Macaca mulatta: one gene and its partners. The protein of the gene in region 1 purifies or fractionates together with the protein of each later gene. This does not show direct contact. Links are inferred from orthologs where the notes say so. Each region holds a gene or a part of one and is shown in the gene's direction. Other genes may lie near its edges.

Region 1 (4,157 bases):
CCAGGGCTCAAGTGGTCCTGCAACCTCAGTCTCCCAAGTACCTGGGACTATACCCACCGAATTTAAATTTTTTTTTTTTTTTTTTTGAGACAGAGTCTTGCTCTGTCGCCCAGGCTGGAGTGCAGTGGCCGGATCTCAGCTCACTGCAAGCTCCGCCTCCCGGGTTTACGCCATTCTCCTGCCTCAGCCTCCCGAGTAGCTGGGACTACAGGCGCCCGCCACCTCGCCCGGCTAGTTTTTTGTATTTTTTAGTAGAGACGGGGTTTCACCGTGTTAGCCAGGATGGTCTCGATCTCCTGAGCTCGTGATCTGCCCGTCTCGGCCTCCCAAAGTGCTGGGATTACAGGCTTGAGCCACCGCGCCTGGCCTTTTTTTTTTTTTTTTTTTAATTAGAAATGAGGTCTTGAGGTGTTGCCCAGGCTGGTCTCAAACCCCTGGGCTCAAGTGATCCTCCCACTTCAGCCCCGCAGAGTGCTGGGATTACAGGTATGAGCCACCACACCTGGCCTCCAGTCCTTCTCAGTTTCAACAGATATTTATGCCTACCTGATTCCGGACTCCAAGGCATCTGTGCTTTCTCTCCGTGAATCTTTTATCCTTCAGAGACTGAGACTCTCTAACACAAGGTGGGAAGTAGGAAGTGGGAAGCTGGGTTCAAAGCAAGCAGAAAGCTTCATTAGGAAGGGTGGCTTGCTAGAGAAGGGAAAAGATAGTCAAGGAAGGCAGGTGAGTTATGATATGGAGGGACAGTCACCCATGAGAAGAAGTACTGGAGCAGACCAAGACAACTCTTGGAATAATTTTCTGGAGGTGGGCCCTAAATCACATATGCCCATATAGCTCTCCTTAGTATGCTTTAAGATAGGTATCAAAAGTTGGGAAGCAAAAATATGCTTTTCCTTTTGACATGCTGTCTGCATTCTTTCATGGAGAAAGAGGTGTTTGTGTGTGAGATCACTTCATCTGTGACCCTGAGAGAGAGAGTGTGTGTGTGTGTGTGCGCGCATACATACACATATATAGTGACAAGGAGTGAGAGTGGCAGTGTGGCAGTAGCTGGCTTCTTTGGGACCAGGGAAAGTTCACAACTTACAATGTGCCCAGCACTAAGATAAGAAAACAAGTAAGCTTGCAGGGTCTACCCTTTGAAAATTTGTGATTTATTTATTGAGTGAGGCCGAAACACACAAACTATTTTTGAAGTTAGTCTGAAAATGCCATAAAAGAGGCAGTTTGCTCTGGGAATTCAAGCCAGTATGAGCACTGCTGACTTTGGTTGTGATGCTTCCTGGAGGATCAACATTTATGTAGGGATTTAAAATGTAGAAACATGGGGATAGAAAAGTCTAGGAAGAATCCCACTTGGAGAAAAGGGCATTAGTGGTAGTTTCTGCTCAGCAACCTCTAGGACCAAGACTTCCTAACCCTTTCAGCTTGTGATAGACCTTGGATTTGCTGAGACCTACTGAGGACCTACTGTTTATCCTCCACATTTCTAATCTTGTAGTAGAAACACACCCCACCTGTTTATTTACTTGTTTCTCCTTAGGGTTGCCAGTAATTTTGCCCTGCCATCTCTCCAGTAAATAATTAAGAGAGCAGAAGGAGAAAACCTAAGATGTATATTTTTTGGCCCATGCCACACTATTTGGGAAATTCTTTCTTAGGGTTGGAGCCCAGGTTGGTTCTACCTAGGGAGTAAAATATGGTCTTGAAAAAAACTCATAAGCATTTGTGTCTACTCTGCTCTCTACTTACACCATCACACACATTTCCTTCTCTTTATCTTTGTCATGTCTCTTAGAATTTTCTTGAGCTCTCCTTGAATCTTTACCCAGCATAGCAGGGACAACACAGTCCTGAGATCATCAAAAGGGGCCCAGATCTGCTTCTGGATCCTCTGGGAGGGCTGCAGGTTGGCACAGCTCCAGAAAGAGAAATGTCAAAGATGCCTAAAGATGTGGGTGTTGAGCCCAGTGTTTGGGTTGAGTGTTTCCTGTGGACCAACACTGTGCTAGGAGGTGTGTGTCTTTAGCTTGGGGTTGGGGAAGATGGGAGCAGGAGGCAGGAGGTGCAAGAGAAGCAGACCTTGTCTTAGCCTTCATTCACCCTCATTCTCTGTGCTTTTGGTTCCCAGGTGGAGTATGGCCCCTGTGTGGTAGCTAGTGACTGCTGGAGCCTGCTGCTTGAGTTCCTACAGAGTTTTCTAGGCAGCCACACACCAGGCGCTCCCGCAGTGTTTGGGAACAGACATGATGCAGTCTACGGCCCAGCAGATACCATGGTCCAGTACATGGAACTCTTCAACAAGATCCGCAAGCAGCAGCAGGTGCCGGTGGCTGGGATTCGTTAGGGATAAGCAGCTGCCAGCTGAGCTCTGTCACCAGGGGTACTCCACAGGAGAAGCAGGTGCTGACTCTCAGGTCCCCGGACCCCAGAAACCCAGGGTAGACATGGAATCTACTCTCCTTCTCTGGTTCCCAGCTGTGGCTTTTGTTCTGGGGCTCTGGAGTCCCCTCCCCAACCCCCTGACTCTCACACAGAGCCCCCCATCAGCTGTTTTATTTCATTCCTTACTGGATTTGGCCTATCCTCAAGAATGGTAATTATGAAGAATGGAGAAGTTTGGACCCTGCCTCCTTTAGGGGAAAGGTAGGACAGGAATGTCCCTGCCTGGTATTGGTGGGGGAAACAGTCTGTATCCTCAACTATTGGGGATTTGTCTCAGGCCCACCGTGAACATGCTGCATTTTATGTTTGGATTGTGCTGTAATAAGAGCCTCTTCCTTTTGTCAGAGGATGTAACTGGGCTTCTATCCTGGAGATAGAGTGGAAGGCACAACTGGTTTGATAGTTACCATTTTCTGACCTGTTTGCTGAAGTGATTTGCGAATTGACTTTCCTAGGATGTTGCCTGAGTCCTTTGAACTCTCCTTCTGACATCTTTCCCTTCTGTTGTGAAATATGTTAAGCCACAGGCCAAACTGCTGTAAGATTGAAGTTTGTTTTTTTCTCACCTAATAATAGAGAGGTAATCAGATGGTCTAGGGCAGATTTAACTCTACAAGGTTATCAGGAACTTGGTTTCCTTCTGTCTTATTCAGCCATTCCCAGTATGTTTTCTTACCCACAATATCAAAGAAGACTCATCAGCTCCATATCTGCATTCTCCTGGGGAAAGAGAGAGAGAAAAGATATGTTTTTTTAAAAAAGATAGGACTGAGCATTGCTCAAATCACTGTGGCCACACTTTGCTGAAAGAGATGCTGGGACATAGAGCCTCTTATCTGGGCAGTCATGTGCCGAGTTAAGACTCAGGGATGCTGTGACTACAAGATGAAAGAGAATTTGGTTGCTGAGACCCAGTTAATGGCCTCTGCTACATGGAGCTCAATGGACATGCCCAGGAATGCTCTTGGCTGTTCGTTTGCAGTTAATACCTCCTGTAACTAAAGCATTCGTTTATGAATTGACTTGCGAGAAGGGCTGATCTCAGAGTCACTTTGAGCTAAGTTGGATTAGTCACAGTAGGAAGTTAATTCCACACCCTTCGTCTAAGTCTCAGTATTGAGGCCTCTCCAGTTCTCATGCACCCCAATCTTAGGGTTAGAACATTTGACCCTGATACGTGCACCATGCTTCATGGTTGCCTGAGCTCCTTCTTCTGTTTCATTCGAGCATCCAAACTACATATTTGGTCATATTGCCTGCCTACCCCATGCCTGCTGCAGAAATATTCATCCAGGTATAACCTTGATATACACAGAGATGGTCTTAGGAGAATTGTTAATATACGTACTGTATTGTCATCAAGGATACTGTCCCTTATTTGAAGACATCTAAAGAGAAACTGTCTTCAGATCCAAGTGCTCAGATCTAAAGCCTCTGCAAAAGTCAGGTAGTGGTCATGTTTCCCTTCTAGTTTTGGCTGACAGGAAGCTCAATTCAGTATCATAACTACAGAACCTGTCATCTGTATTTTTTGTTCTCACGCCCTGTTTTTGTTATTTTGTTTCTGGTTTTTTATATTGAGGTATGTTTTAGATATTGTTTACACAAATAAAATGCACAGATCTTGTGTTTTTGGCCTCCTGATTTACATTTGCTCTCACCCAGGTTTATTTATTTGTATTTTTCTGTAGGCTGCAGCTTTTATG
Region 2 (4,778 bases), about 120 Mb from region 1:
CCACAAAATATGAGACTCAAAGAAGGGCCAGATATTTGACACTTACATTACAACCTGGCCTCAGAAAGGAAGTGGGGGCCCGGTGTGGTGGCACGAACCTGTAATCCCAGCTACTCAGGAGTCTGCGGCAGGAGGATCCTTGATCCCAGGAGTTGGACGCCAGCCTGGGCAACACAGCAAGGCCAGTCTCTTTAAAATAAAAGTGGGGCTTGGGGCTTCCAGGGGGTGGTGGAGACAAGTTAAGGGAGGATAAGAGGAGAAAACGTAAGATGAATAAAGGTTGACGTTTATGCAGATAAAAGTATCTCATCATACTAGTTGACTAGGAGCAGCTCTCTTTCTGGTACAGATTCCTTTAATTATGAAAATTTCCTTTAGAAATGTACATTTCTCTTTACAAAGGGACAGTTTTATCCTTTATTTTAGGCAGTAGTGGGATAAGTGAAGCATTTTCCTGTGTTGGCTGGATCTTATTTTTGCTGAAAGACATCAATATGCCAGAGTGGCATATTTTGGGGTGGCATATTCTGGACTCCTTCAGTTATAATTTGTGGTAGTGTGTCCTGAGCCCCAACACAATGAAATCAATCAACGTTCACCCTAACTAAAGGGGCTTTCTTAAATATTCTAGGAGAACCTCTCCACCATGCATAGACCGTAAAAAATCCTTTAAAATTCAACCCAAAGGATAGTTTTAAAACGCGGCTTCCTCCAGGCACTTTTAATTGTTCTTAGACAGATGGCCAAACCTAGTTATGCGAACCGCATATGCTAAGAGAAAACTGACTAGAGCGCCAAGAAAATGATGATTGGCTGCCGGAGCTCAGAAGTTGCATGTTCTTCTCTGGCCAAAGCAGGCACTAGGAAACTGCTGAAGGTTCAGTTTTTGAAATACGGTTTTTGCATCGTAAAGAAAAAAGATCAACCTATCAGGAAGAACCGAGCACATCCAATCGCCAATCAAGAGCGGGAAAGAAGCCAAAGCCTGGGGATACCCACGCACCAACGAGGACGTCATTCTCAAGCCCCCGCCAATGAACAGCGGGACGGGGGGCGGGGCAATAGGCGGACCCATTGCCCTAGAAAACAAACAAGCTGCGGTACAACTGTCCTCACTAGCCCTCTCTTCCGAAGCTACTGCAGCCAAGCCCTCAGCAAGGTGCTGATTTAATGCTTTCTATGCTTTGTGCGTGAGGCTAGTTACAGTGGAGTATCCCCTTCCCACTAAAGTAAGGCACTTCTTTCCAGTGCCTCCCCGAGAACTGCAGAAAGCACACTGGAACTTCTAGCTTTCCACCTTCACAGCAACCGGGAGCCCCGCGCTACCTGAGGGGGAGGGGCGGCCCTGGTACGCAGGCGCGCATGCTTTGTCGGGGGCGAGGCTGTGGCGGCCCGAGGTAACCTGGGAGCTGTATTTCTTAGGCCGGCGAAACCGCCCTGGCCGCTGAGGCCTTCGGGACTACATTTCCCAGGAGGCCCCGCGACCATGGGGCGGGCCGGTGAGTTCGTTAATGAGCTCGAAGAAGCCACGGCGCGGCCCACCAGGTTCCAAAACAAGGAAATGAAGAGGGGAGGCGGGACTGGGGGTGCCTGTGGGAGCCGCCGCCGCCGTCGCGGAGGAGGAGGAAGAGGTGGAGGAGGTGGCTGCTGCGGCCGCCGAGGAGTCCCTTGCTGAAGGCGGACCGCGGAGCGGCGGGCGGCGCGCGCGCGCGCCCGAGAGGCGTCTGTTGGAGAAGTGGAGCGGCGGTCGCGGGGGGAGGAGGAGGAGGGACTGAGCGGCGGCGGCCCCCGCGTCCCGTGCCTCTATGGGGGAAGCAGACAATGGATTATGATTTCAAGGCGAAGCTGGCGGCGGAGCGGGAGCGGGTGGAGGATTTGTTTGAGTACGAAGGGTGCAAAGTGGGACGCGGCACCTACGGGCACGTCTACAAGGCGAGGCGGAAAGATGGGTAAGAGCAGGGGCGGGAGGAGTAGGCTCTCTCGGGTCCTCGCCCTGCCCGCGACCTGGCGGGATGGGTGGGTCGGATCCCAGTCGGGCCGTGCCCGATGGGCGAGGCGGAGGGGATCGCGGGGTCGCGTCCCGACACCGACTCCGAGGGGCGCCCATTCCGCCCGCCTCCCCCGCGCGGTCGCCGTCGCGCCCCTCGAACTCCCGCGGAGCAGCTCGGTCCGAGGCGTCGGTCCCGTCCCAGAGGGACGCCCTCCGAGTGCTCGGAGACGGCGGCGGGACTCGAGTTGGGACCGCGGTGGAGGAGGAGTTTTGGGGTCTGGTCTCTTGGGGGAACGCAGCGGGCAGGCAGAGCTCCGCCGCGGAATTGCCGCTCCGGCCCTGTGTAGTGACGGTCGTTGTGGAACTTCCAATCGGCTGAGCGCCTCGCGGGGGCGGCGGTTTGAAACCTCGCCGGGGAGCCCGTCGGACGAACACGGCCTGGGGTCCTCGCCAGCCCGGCGGCTCTGACCCGCTGGGCACCGCCGCCCCCGGCCGCGATCTCCGCCCCCTGGGGCTGGCCGGCCCGTTGGCCCCTCTATGCGGTACTCCCATCCCTGTCGTATGCCCGGCGTCCCGGATTTTTCATTCTCACATTCTGAATTGCGTACCTTCCCCCTTCGAAGGAGACCTGATGGGCCAGCTGCGTTTCGCAAGCAGTAACTTAAGAGTTGGCTCAGTTCTCTGCTAACCACCCTTTACCTCGCAGCCCCTTGGCTATCTTGGGTATTATGTCCTCCACTCCATCCTCTGCCCGATGACTGTGGGCTGGGGCTTATCGAGTACCTAGATTATCAGGAAGGGAATACAGAGTGACAAAGCTGGGCCTGAACCTTTGTTTTCCTAGGAGTTGGGGGAGAACTGTAGGAACACCTTGGGAAGGCTTTACTGATTGTCCTCTTAAGATAAGAAGAGCTGAATAAAGTACTGAGAATGCCTATCCTTACTTGGTCCTGGAGGGCAGACAGCAGCTACAGCAGGGCCGGTGGAACCAGCTTCCTGGCAGGAATTACCCTCCCCCAAGGTTAGGGACCCAGGAAGATACCCTGTCCAGCATAGACTTTAAAGAGAGTCAAACTCTACGGAAGAGGATTGTAACGGAATATTTCTGAATACACTGATGATCAGCCACAATGACATTAGTAAAATTTGAAGTGCTGCTTATCTTTGTGCGCGCTGTTATAATTTGATGTGGTTGGTATATGAACTCTAGGACCAAAGTAGGTTGTATGCGTATGCACTAATTTCATAAAACAAACAACTCTAGTGTTTTGTCATAAGGTATCGTGAAAATTGCAAAGTACTATCCAAGTGTAAAGGATTATTATTGCAGAGTTTTTTTTTTCTCTTGTAATAACTTGAACAGGCCTCAAGGTACTCAGTTGTTTCTCATAATTCCTTTAATTACCAGGTGTCCTTGAATGCTTATCATAGAATGTGAGTTACTATAATTAACATATTTTGGTTTTGGAATATCCACTCTACCTGTTATACTAGTGTTCTTGTGGGAATTTTATCAGATATATTTGGGGAAAGCACATCCAGTTTTCCTGTTTGGACACTTAATAAATCTGAGGTGGGTTTTTCCCATACTCCTCATGCTAACTTTGTAATATACTTTAGGTTTTAAAAAATGTATTTTAGTGGGGTTTTTTGTTGTTGTTGTTGTTAAAATAGCTTTCTCTTATTAGGGAACGTTTGAGAAGTTAAAAATTCTGCTTCTGAATTGTATTTGAATAGTATGGGCTTATAACAAAAACCAGATAATTCCTGCTTCTATATTTTTTGAATATTTTTCCCCTCTAATAAAGTGCTTGATTCGAATACACTTCCTTTTTGAGTGAAATTTGTTAATTAGAATGAATAAAGCTTCTTTACTAGAGTAAGATTAGTTTGGTTGTCTTCAAAATATAATGCTCTTTTTTTCTTAAAAAAAAAAAGTCTCAGGGTCTGAAAGTGTTAGTTTAAATCACTATGTTATGTATAAGAAAAACCATAATAAAGGCTTTTTTCCTGGATGAAAGATCTGGTTGAGATTTGCAACTTTACAGTAAACACCCACATCTCTTGTGGGTTGGTAGTGGGATTAGTTTTATGTTCATTGATACCAGCAATCTGAAAGAACATCTGTGTCCTTTGGGTTCATGTTAAATTTTTTTTTTTTTTTAACTGTTCTAAACTGCGAGGCAGATTTGCATAGTAAAGGATTTTACACTCTGATCATGGTAGATTACAGTTTAGCTCTTTCCAGATTTTATTTTGGTTAACTCAGAAAATGCATAATGCTGTTTTAGGGAGCCAGACATCACATAGGTTACATTAAAGAGAAATGATTTTGGTATATATAATGTAGTATATAACCAAAACATTGTTCAGGTCTTTAGAAGAAACATTGAAAGAAGTAACTTAATATATCATTAGAAAAGTTTAATACTACAGTTTGCAAAATCTTAAGTTATTTCCCTTGAAGTATGACTTTAGGCAATATTATATCACATAAATTTATAACAAGCTGGAAATGCAAGATTTACATCTGAGTTTTTCACCTTTAATTAAAAATGTTATTTGTTCACCTTTTTGTTTTGCAAGAAGAGAGGCTTTTGACCCAACTCCCCTTTTTATTTAATATTTATACTTTTGAATATTTTTTGTAGAGACAGCGTCTTGCTGTGTTGGCAGGGCTAGTCTTGAACTCCTGGGCTCAAGTGATCCTCCTGCCTCAGCCTCCCAAAATGCTGGATTACAAGCGTGAGCCACCATGCTGGACGTCCAACTATCTTTTTCTTAAAAA
Region 3 (4,871 bases), on another chromosome or scaffold:
CAACTTAGGATCTAGCAAGGGAGAGGAAATAAAAGATGAAACGGAATTTGATAAATAACACAGGAAAGGTGGAAAAAAAGTGTTAAAAAGTTCACATTAAAAGTGCAAAGTTCCCTTTGGGAAGTGGGGAGCTTTAGTGGAAATGGTAACAATTGGAAACCAAAAATTAAAAACAGACAAATAAGAGGGATAAGATAAAATGATAGATTAGTATCAATCTTGAAGCAGGACTCCTGAAGCAGGACATACTGCTACCGCAAAATTATTAACAAACTAGTTCCCATGGATTTAGATCCTTTCTGTAATCATAGCTAGAAACTGGTGTTCTTATGGGGAGCATCGCAGAAGGCTGTACTGTACTCAATACTTCCTATAAATGGACAGGAAAGGTTGGATGGTCATCTGTCACAAGAGTAACAATGTTTAGAAGTAGCTTGGACAGTAGTCATTGATTCACTTTTACTGGAGCTTGTAATGTCAGTATGTTGACATCATTGTGCAGCCCTTATCAGATTGTGAACACCAAGAGTACCCCAACTGCTGGCCCGCGAGCTGTTTACAAATATATCCGCTTTTATAGATGACAGTGGCCTTTAACATCTGGAGTTCAGAGTGGCACAAAATGTGTTTCTAAAGCTACTCTCCTTCCCACGTGCATCTCTTTGGTCAAGTTTATGGCTGGAATCAGACTCTAGTTAGATCGCTATAAAAATAAAAATAAAAATAAAAATAAATTTTCCCCAAGTGATTGAAACGAATTTCACCCTAGACTACGAGTCCCAACATGCAACGCTCCCATATTCCCACCATGTGGGGCGGAGTCGTAGAAGAGGCGGCAGCGGCGGCGGCCTATGCATTCTGGGTATTGTAGTCTCGGAACCGGCCACCGCTGGGGCTGGTCCCACGTGTTGCGTTTTGCGGCAGCTTTGGGCAGCGGCTCCCCTGCTCCCTCCACACGGTCCTCAGGGTGCCAGCGCCAGCAGGGGCGGCCAGCCACCGCGGGAGCGGGTTGGAGGGTGGTTCGGAGGCAGCCCGAGGCTTCGCGACGTTTTTGCGACAGCCGCGGCCGTGTTCCGCGAGTGCCCTCCCTCCTCCTCTCTTTGAGGAGGTACCGGCTGTTGTGCGGCGCTGCCTTTCTGTTTGAGTGTATGGGAGAGTGAGTGAGTGAGTGAGTGAGTGTGAGCGTGTGTGTGAGCGCGTGAGGCGTGAGTGCGCGTGTGAGAGGACGAGAGCCCGCCTGGCCGCCCCGCCGCTCCCGCCGCAGCAGGAGCAGAACGCGCGACCGGAGAGAGCGGCGGAGCCGGCGCCCAGGGAGCCCGCGGGGACAAGGGCAGAGACACCGCTCCCCACCCCCAGCCCTCGTCCCTCGGCTCTGCTTCGCCGGGGGATCCTCCCCGTTCCTCCACCCCCGGCCGGCCTCTGCCCCGCTGCCCCCCTGGATGTCCCCGGCGCTTTCGCGGGGCCTCCTCCTGCTCTTGCCGCATCAGTCGGGCTGGTGCTGCGGCCGGCGGGCGTAGAGCGGGCGGGTTCCCGGGGGCTGCGGCTGCCCGTGCTTCCCCGGTCCCCACCCCTGCCCCCCGGCCCCCCGACCCAGCTCTCCGGCCTCGGAGGCTGTGACAATGGACTATGACTTTAAAGTGAAGCTGAGCAGCGAGCGGGAGCGGGTCGAGGACCTGTTTGAATACGAGGGCTGCAAAGTTGGCCGAGGCACTTATGGTCACGTCTACAAAGCCAAGAGGAAAGATGGGTGAGTGTGTGCGTCTGGGCCGGTGTCCGCGCTGGGCGGCGCTCCCGCAGGCCGAGGCAGGTAGCCCGGAGGGAGAGCGGGCCGCCGGGGTGCCGGGCTCTGACTTCCTCGACGCCGGCCTCTGGCTCCGCCAGCAAGGTTTGGGGAGGAAGTGGTGTACAAGGGATCCAAAGCCACAAGAAATCCTGCGTGCCGCATCTGTGTTGTGCTTCGGTGCTAAGAGGGAAGAGGAGCCTCTGCACCGTGGGCTATATACTTTTCAAGGATTTCAAAGCTGATTTATGAAAAAATGCGTTCTAAAACGCCGGGTGAAATGTTTCTGTTTGTTTTTTTTTCCTTGGTCGATTTATTATGGTAACCTTCTGGGGATTTCCTCACCCGCCTCGGGAGTGTCATCCATCGGTCTAGAAGGAAGGCTGTGATCCTTTCCCCCCCCAGTTTGTGATCGATTTTTTATCAAATTTGTATTTTATTTGAGGGAAGGAAGGCAGCGAGTGAATGTGGTTCTGGAGAGAGTTCCCCATACGGATCATCTGCACCATACATGTTGCAGTTGCTATTTAGATATTATTAGCTGTGAATTTTTACATAGAACAATGGGGGTTTGGTGCAGGGTGGGTGGTGGGGAAGAAGACAAGTGACATAGGGACTATCTCGTTGAGGCTGTTTCCCCCAAATTTAGCGGCTGGCAGTGAACTTTAAATAATCCCTTTGCTTTAAATATTCTTCCCTAGTAACAACTTAATTAAACCTATGAGTGGTAATGCTTCCAATTTAGTTTCTTAACAGGCAAGTGAATTGTTCGTTTTTTTCTCTTTGTCAGTAGATGAATGTCTTGTAATATTGACAAAAGAGAAGGCAGTTCTTAGTGGGGGGGAATAATATATATTTTATTAACTCCATGTTTTCTTGTAAAATGGATGTTGTCTCTGTTGCCTTTGACAGAATAGAAAATTATTGAAAAGTCAAAGCTTATTATATAATCTTTGGATTTTATTAGAAACGAAGTAGCTTTACTGGAACATTCCAGTTTAGTTACCTGCTATATGATGTTTAATCACTTAAAATTTCAGATTAGGAGAGTATGTTCAGACTACATTAGCACGAAAAAAAATTCATAAAGCTGAAGTTCCCTAGTGTGGGGGAGGGGGGCGCATATTTATAAATACTTTAGTATTCTGGATGTTGGAAAGGAAAGTGTGTATTTATTCAACATTTTTCTTAGATTTACTGAAATATCTTTCTAAAAGTGTTTACAATGGACTCTACGAGGAAGATAAGAGTTCTCATTAATTTGGAATATGTATTTTAGTGCTTTTATGCCACAATAAAGTGGAACAGATCGGCAGAAGGTAGGGATTTGGATTTGAAAACTTGATACTCTGGGCGCCGCACGTATTTAAAAGTACTTTTTAGCACTGGAGAAATCAGCGTCTGGAGATACTGCTGACTCTGTTGATGTCTAATTAGACTTATTGTTGAAGTTTTACTCTGTAATGACATATATTTTAAAAATTATGTTTGATAACTTACCATACAATATTTCTCAAAAGCTTTAAACCATCTCTCCTTCCCCCAGTATTATGTAATTTTGGGCATATTCATAAAATCCCCAATCCCATGAGATTAGACATTACAGTGCATTTGACCACACTGTCATGTTATATAAAATTCTAGCGCCTTTGCATTATTTTTAATCTGTGTGAGAGAAGCCGCTTCTGTTTTCAAAAACTATGAACTTAAGCTAATAAAATATGCATATTTGTTTTAACGTTGTACTTTTATTAGAAAACTAATACTGTGTATTGGCAGGAGGTACTTAAGCAAATATTTTATATCTCCATGGTCCGGTTTTAATTTAGGTTGTTAAGAATAATTTGAAAGAATAATTTCAATATCTTTGAATTTAAAGATAGTTGAAGGTATAATGTATGGACATTCTTAGTCATCCGTGACAGCTGAAAAGTAACATTGCATTTTGGAAAAAAGAGCTTATTATTTGTAATCCTTGGCGTTTGTTTTCCATCAGTCTTTAATGATTCTCTTTATGTGATGAACTTCTGTTTTTAATGGATCAAATGTCAAGAGAGTTTTAAAATTACTATCTTTTAGAGATAGTTTTGGAGAGTTTTAAAATTACAGGGATTTTTCAGTTTGACTTCTTTTTTGTAACCTCACTCTGGTAAAATATCGCATACTATTTATGAGGTTCTTTTGATCTTATGTCAGTGAAATGTAATTTAATGCATTTTAGTCCTGGTAAAATAAAATTTGTGGCTGTTTAATCTTTTATAATAAGATGATGATCAAATAATTTGTTTCTAGTATTGATTTACTTTCAAATTACATTATATATTCTGCAGCTGAGATTTGTTCTCTAGGAACTCAGACGGTAACACCTTCAAGGAGAACCTGAGAATTTCTATAAAAGGAAATAACACAAATAAGCTTGGTTTAGACATATTTGACTATTGAAATGAATGTATGTAAACGTTGTATCCTTTCAGTTGCCCCAGTGAGCATAGAACATGAACAATTGGTAAAATAATTTAGACCAGAGGAGTTAGCTGCTTAAATTATTAAGTTTTAGGAAATAAAATAGCTTGAAAGATTCATTTTTTGACTTACTTGAGGCATGATTGCATGGTAGGGAAAAGGGACCTTTTATTACTGTGTGAATTTCAGATTATAATAGAGTTTAAAGACATACACAATACATCCTGGGATTAATTTCTTCTCACTAGTGTCGCCATAAATGAGATATTGTCTTTTGTGTCTGAACACTTAAAGGGTACTCAGTGGGAATCAGGGGGGTTCATTTTCTTTCTGGGTTGATTGTATCTCGTCTTTGCAGAATTTAGGCAACCAAAACTAATTTTGTTTTAAAGAGTAGGAAAGCATTAGAAGACAGAAAACAATTTGTGTTTTTCAATTCTAGACTTTCAATATTTGCACCGGATGTTTGGATAATTTAAAATATCAATTTGGGATAAGAGATTTTTCTTCAAAAAAGAAAAACAAAAGGAAATTTCTTAATAGGGTTTTTAATCTGTTATAATCTATGTTCCAAAGAATAGATAATTACGAGTAAGGAATGAGTGTGTGTTTGTGTGTGTGAGTGAGA
Region 4 (4,798 bases), on another chromosome or scaffold:
CAGAGAGCTGTGCTGAGGCCCTTTACCTGTACAGCGGACCCTCCAACAGCACTTCTGTCTATGGTCCTACTCGGCAAGGATCTGCCTCCACACAGCCCTCCCAATGTGCCTGAAAATATCAGCAGTGATCCTTTCCCTGGCCACCTTGCTCTTAAGGCTCCTGTTCATAGTACTATGTGGATGTGGACCTCCTCGCCTCTCTGCACTGCCCATGATGGTGGATTACAGCAGAATGGGCTCGCCAGTTGACAGCTTTCCCCACTCATGTCTTCTAACTAGCTAAGCTTAGGGTGGCTGTCCCCATTGCGCAGAAAATTGCTACTTAGCCCTCATAGCAAACTTGTTTTGAGAAGCATAACCATAAACCCATCTTTGGCCTACGATCCTAGGGAGTCCTCATGCCAACAAGACCTTTTGGGGTCAGCCACGAATGTGAAGTTAGAATGCAGTTTAGGCTCTGCCATGACTCTGAACTAAATATGATTTTAGGGGTGAGGAAACTGGGACCTAGGGGTTTGAGGAACTGGCCCGAAGGTATGGAGAGTACCTGACTTTGTCGTTCTTCCAGGATATGATATTTATTCCTGGCACGAATCCCCTCTACCTTGTATTGAAAGCAAGGACAGCCTCCCTGCAACCACACATTACACCTGGCCATCCAGCAGGTGCATACTAAAAGTGTGTTGAGTTGAATTATCAGACTCTCAGCAGCCATGCAGCACTGAAGGGACCGCAATCCCTTTGCCTCTGCGTCCTTAGGGCTAAGCAGGAGGTCTCGATGTCTCGCACTGTGGGCCGGGCCGGGTTTGGTGCCTCAGCCAGCAGGTAAGTGCTGTCTACGCCTCCTGCAGGTCCAGTGGTTCCTCTCCAGACTTGGGTGCACTGGGCCAGGCTGCGCCTTACTGACCTCAAGGCTTCCTGTGTTTGTGGCTTTGGGGCCCTCTTCATCGTGTGAATAGGAATAAGAAGATTGTTATTTCTGGCCAGGTGCGGTGGCTTGCGCCTGTAATCTCAGCACTTTGGGAGGCCGAGGAGGGCGGATCACCTGAGGTGGGGCGTTCGAAACCATCAACATGAAGAAACCCCGTCTCTACTAATAATACAAAATTAGCCGGGCGTGGTGGTGTATGCCTGTAATCCCAGCTACTTGGGAGGCTGAGGGAGGAGAATCATTTGAACCCGGGAGGCGGAGGTTGCTTTGAGCCGAGATCACGCCACTGCACTCCAGCCTGGGCAACAAGAGCGAAACTCCGTCTCAAAAAAAAAAATTGTTATTTCTGAAATAAATCCCCTATTTCTCACTATTTAATAATATTTAAATAATTTTGGGTCTTGACTCAACCCAAAACCAGGCACCCCAGACCCACCCACGGCCCGTCGCCTAGCAACAGTCTCCCCACCCCGCCTCCGCCCCGTTGCCAGCCGAGTGCCCAGTGCGCATGCTCAGAGCCTTCCTCCACACTGCGCCCCTGCAGGGCGCGCGGTGGTGACGTATAGAGTTCGCGACGCTGTCGGCGACCCGACCTCTGGGTTAACCTAACCCCGGAGCCATGGCCTCTGCTGGGGTGGCAGCCGGGCGACAGGCGGAGGATGCATTGCCGCCAACGTCCGACCAGCCGCTGCCTGACACCAAGCCGCTGCCGCCCCCTCAGCCGCCGCCTGTCCCTGCGCCTCAGCCGCAGCAGTCGCCGGCGCCACGGCCTCAGTCACCTGCCCGCGCGAGGGAGGAAGAGAACTACTCCTTTTTACCTTTGGTTCACAGCATCATCAAATGGTAAGAACCTAGGAGAGGACCAGGCCCCATACTCCCTCCAGCTTCTCGTCTCAGCCGTTTCAGAGCTTCAAGAGGCCTTGGCGCTCTAGGGCACGCCCCCGTTTCGCAGATGGGGAAACTCAGACCCAGAGCGGGAAGAGGCCTTTCCCAAGACCACAGAGACATTCCATGAGTTAAGCAAACGATTTGAGCCCCGAGAGGTGCGATATCCTTAAGAATGAAGCCAGCTTAGAGACTACATACAGACTCTTGTCCAGCGGCTCAAACGTGCATCCCATCGATCTTGAGCAAATTAAATCTCTTTAAGTCTCAGTTTTCTCACCTTTAATGTTAGTAATACTCACTTTAGTTCCTTATTTCAACAGACTCAACAGATAAGCATCATCTTCCCTGTGTGGGACACTGCCAAGTGCTATGGGATGGACACAGTAAAAGGGGCATAGAAGGAAAAAAAAAGACATGATTGGGAATAACCCATAATTCAAAAAGATTGAGAGGGGAGCGGTGGCGATGGGAAATATTAGACTAAGCAAAAACACAGAAGTTGCCTGAGATGATTAGACCCACCTGTACTGACTTTGTTCCAACAGTACCAAAGGAGATAATTGTCATCCTTTTGGCCAGCCTTTAGGGTAGCCTGAGTTTTCAAAGTGACTCTGTAAAGGAAAAACCAAAAACAAAAGCACGAAAGTCTTACTGATCCCAGTGTTTGCCTAAATTATTATTTTTTTTTTTGAGACAGGGTCTCGCTCTGTCACCCGGACTGGAGTACAGTGGCGTGATCTCGTCTCACTGCAGCCTCAACCTCCAGGCCTCAAGCCATCCTCCCACCTCAGCCTCCCAAGTAACCGGAACCACAGGCATGAGCCACAGCACCCAGCGAATTTTTGTACTTTTTGTAGAGATGGAATTTAGTCGTGTTGCCTAGGCTGTAAATTATTTTCATTATGTTACTTCACTCTATATCCACGTGATAGTAGGTGTAAACCCTTAGGCTTATAACTCTTATTCAGCCATTAAAGACCACAAAGTAAATTAAAAGAAAATTACGAATCCAGTAACATTCAGGTGAACATGAATGTGCTCTTCACTGTTTTACTGAAACGGAATTGTTACAACGTGAAGGTCTTGACCGTTAGTGGCCCACCCACTTTTGAGTTTAAGCAAACTAGATTCACTTGCTGTGGGATGACCTGATGCTCTTCTGCCACTTTTCAAATAACTACAAAGGCTTTGTTCTCACATTAGACCCTGGCTTCATTTGGCTTCACTTGGTGTTTACTGTTTATAAGGGCCGGGCGTGGTGTCTCATGCCTGTAATCCAAGCACTTTGGGAGGCCAAGGCAGGCGGATCACGAGGTCAGGAGTTTGAGACCAGCCTGGCCAACATGGTGAAACCCTGTCTCTTACTAAAAACAAAAATTAGCCAGGTGTGGTGGTGGGTGCCCGTAATCCCAGCTAATCGGGAGGCTGAGGCAGGAGAATCACTTGAACCTGGGAGGTGGAGGTTGTATTGAGCCGAGATCATGCCGTTGCACTCCAGCCTGGGCAACAAGAGCAAGACTCTGTCTCAAAAATAAATAAATAAATAAATAAATTTAAAAAAATGTTTCTGGGATAAGACAGCCTGTTCAGTTTTTGTGAGCCTGTGATAATGATCACAGACAGAAATACGTATGGAGCCCCTATAATCCCAGGGCAGTGCCGGATTATAAAGGGTTTAGTCAGATTAACCCCAGTTTACTGGTTTTAAGAAAAATGTGGAAAAAGGAAAACACAAAATGTACACATTCACAAAGACAGCTCTTGAACCCCCCAAGAGTATATTCTTGAGCCCTGGTAAAGCAGCTGGATTGGGCTGGCCTTAAAGATGTAGTAGTAAGTTATACTACAGAGAAGAGGCTTTGAAGTTAGACAGTCCTGAGTTCAAATCTGTATACTGACATTTTCATGCCTTCTAATATTGATATAAATGTCTAACCTTTCTAGGCCATAATCTTCTTATCTCTAATATGTCCATAGTGGACCTCAAAAGAGAGGTTTAGATTATGTAATAGCTCTATAATGTGCTGACTGGGTGACCTGGGCAAGTAGCTTAGCTTCTCTGAGCCTGTTTTTCTCTTATGAAATGGGAATGCTTATGTCATAGGATTGTTGGGAGATGTACTCAAGAGCGTACCTGTGAAACCTAGTGGGCTGATCACATGTGCTTGTCTCTGTTTCGTCTAAAGGGACACAGAAGGGACTTAAAAAAAAAATACATAAAACCTTCAGATGCAGTGGCTCATGCCTGTAATCCCAACACTTTAGGAGGCTGAGGTGAGCTGGTCGCTTGAGCCTGGGAGTTCAAGACCAGCCTGGGCAACATGGCAAAACCCCATCCCTACAAAAAATACAAAAAAAAAAAAATTAGCCAGGCGTGGTGTGTGCCTGCAGTCCTGGCTACTTGGAAGGCTGAAGTGGGAGGATCACTTGAACCCAGATCATGCCACTGTACTTTAGCAAGGGTGACAGAACGAGACCCTATCTCAAAAATAAAAAGCATAAAACCGAAAAGAATAGGACAGGAGATGATCGCTACAAAGTGAATGACCAGTGCTAATTCATCTACCAACTCCTAAGCAGCTGGCTTGTTAAACATGGCCTACCCCCAGATCTCAGGAACTCTAGTGCAAGGACCCCCTGGAAATAGGGGTGAAGGTGGGTCTAAGAACAGGATGATTACTTGAAGTCTGTTTAAGAAGCAGTCCTGTCCCACCTCCCAGCCCCTCCAAGCGGCCAGGTGACTACCCTTCTTCTAAATTGGTGGGTGGTTAAAAGGTTACTCTCCCAAGATTTATTCTTAGGAACAAATAAGCCAGAGAGTACCTGGACTGGGGGACAACAGGCACACTGCAGGGGTAGGTAGGGGGAATCATAACTGAAAAGAGGGATTAAGAGAAAGTTCGCAGTCTGAAGAGAGACCCCACTCGAGCCTTCCCCCACCTGGCTTCTAGATTGGCAGCCAAAGAGAGTGGAAGTGCC

Evidence for each region. Proteins that work in one complex are often made in the same cells at the same time.
Region 2: the proteins of MED20 (region 1) and CDK19 purify together in Homo sapiens (affinity purification with mass spectrometry; 5 studies listed by BioGRID and IntAct, counting the BioPlex papers as one, with this or other methods). This does not show direct contact. The link is inferred for Macaca mulatta from reciprocal best matches to the Homo sapiens genes MED20 and CDK19.
Region 3: the proteins of MED20 (region 1) and CDK8 purify together in Homo sapiens (affinity purification with mass spectrometry; 8 studies listed by BioGRID and IntAct, counting the BioPlex papers as one, with this or other methods). This does not show direct contact. The link is inferred for Macaca mulatta from reciprocal best matches to the Homo sapiens genes MED20 and CDK8.
Region 4: the proteins of MED20 (region 1) and MED9 purify together in Homo sapiens (affinity purification with mass spectrometry; 6 studies listed by BioGRID and IntAct, with this or other methods). This does not show direct contact. The link is inferred for Macaca mulatta from reciprocal best matches to the Homo sapiens genes MED20 and MED9.

What each region holds. Positions count from the first base shown.
Region 1 is NC_133409.1:140,266,837-140,270,993, forward strand, and holds the end of MED20 (mediator of RNA polymerase II transcription subunit 20), read left to right. Parts: intron 1-2,137; coding exon 2,138-2,353; 3' UTR 2,354-4,078; downstream 4,079-4,157. UniProt on the Homo sapiens protein: Component of the Mediator complex, a coactivator involved in the regulated transcription of nearly all RNA polymerase II-dependent genes.
Region 2 is NC_133409.1:15,874,676-15,879,453, reverse strand, and holds the start of CDK19 (cyclin-dependent kinase 19), read left to right. Parts: upstream 1-1,498; 5' UTR 1,499-1,821; coding exon 1,822-1,949; intron 1,950-4,778.
Region 3 is NC_133422.1:6,371,663-6,376,533, forward strand, and holds the start of CDK8 (cyclin-dependent kinase 8), read left to right. Parts: upstream 1-1,591; 5' UTR 1,592-1,619; coding exon 1,620-1,747; intron 1,748-4,871.
Region 4 is NC_133421.1:19,031,623-19,036,420, forward strand, and holds the start of MED9 (mediator of RNA polymerase II transcription subunit 9), read left to right. Parts: upstream 1-1,518; 5' UTR 1,519-1,550; coding exon 1,551-1,774; intron 1,775-4,798.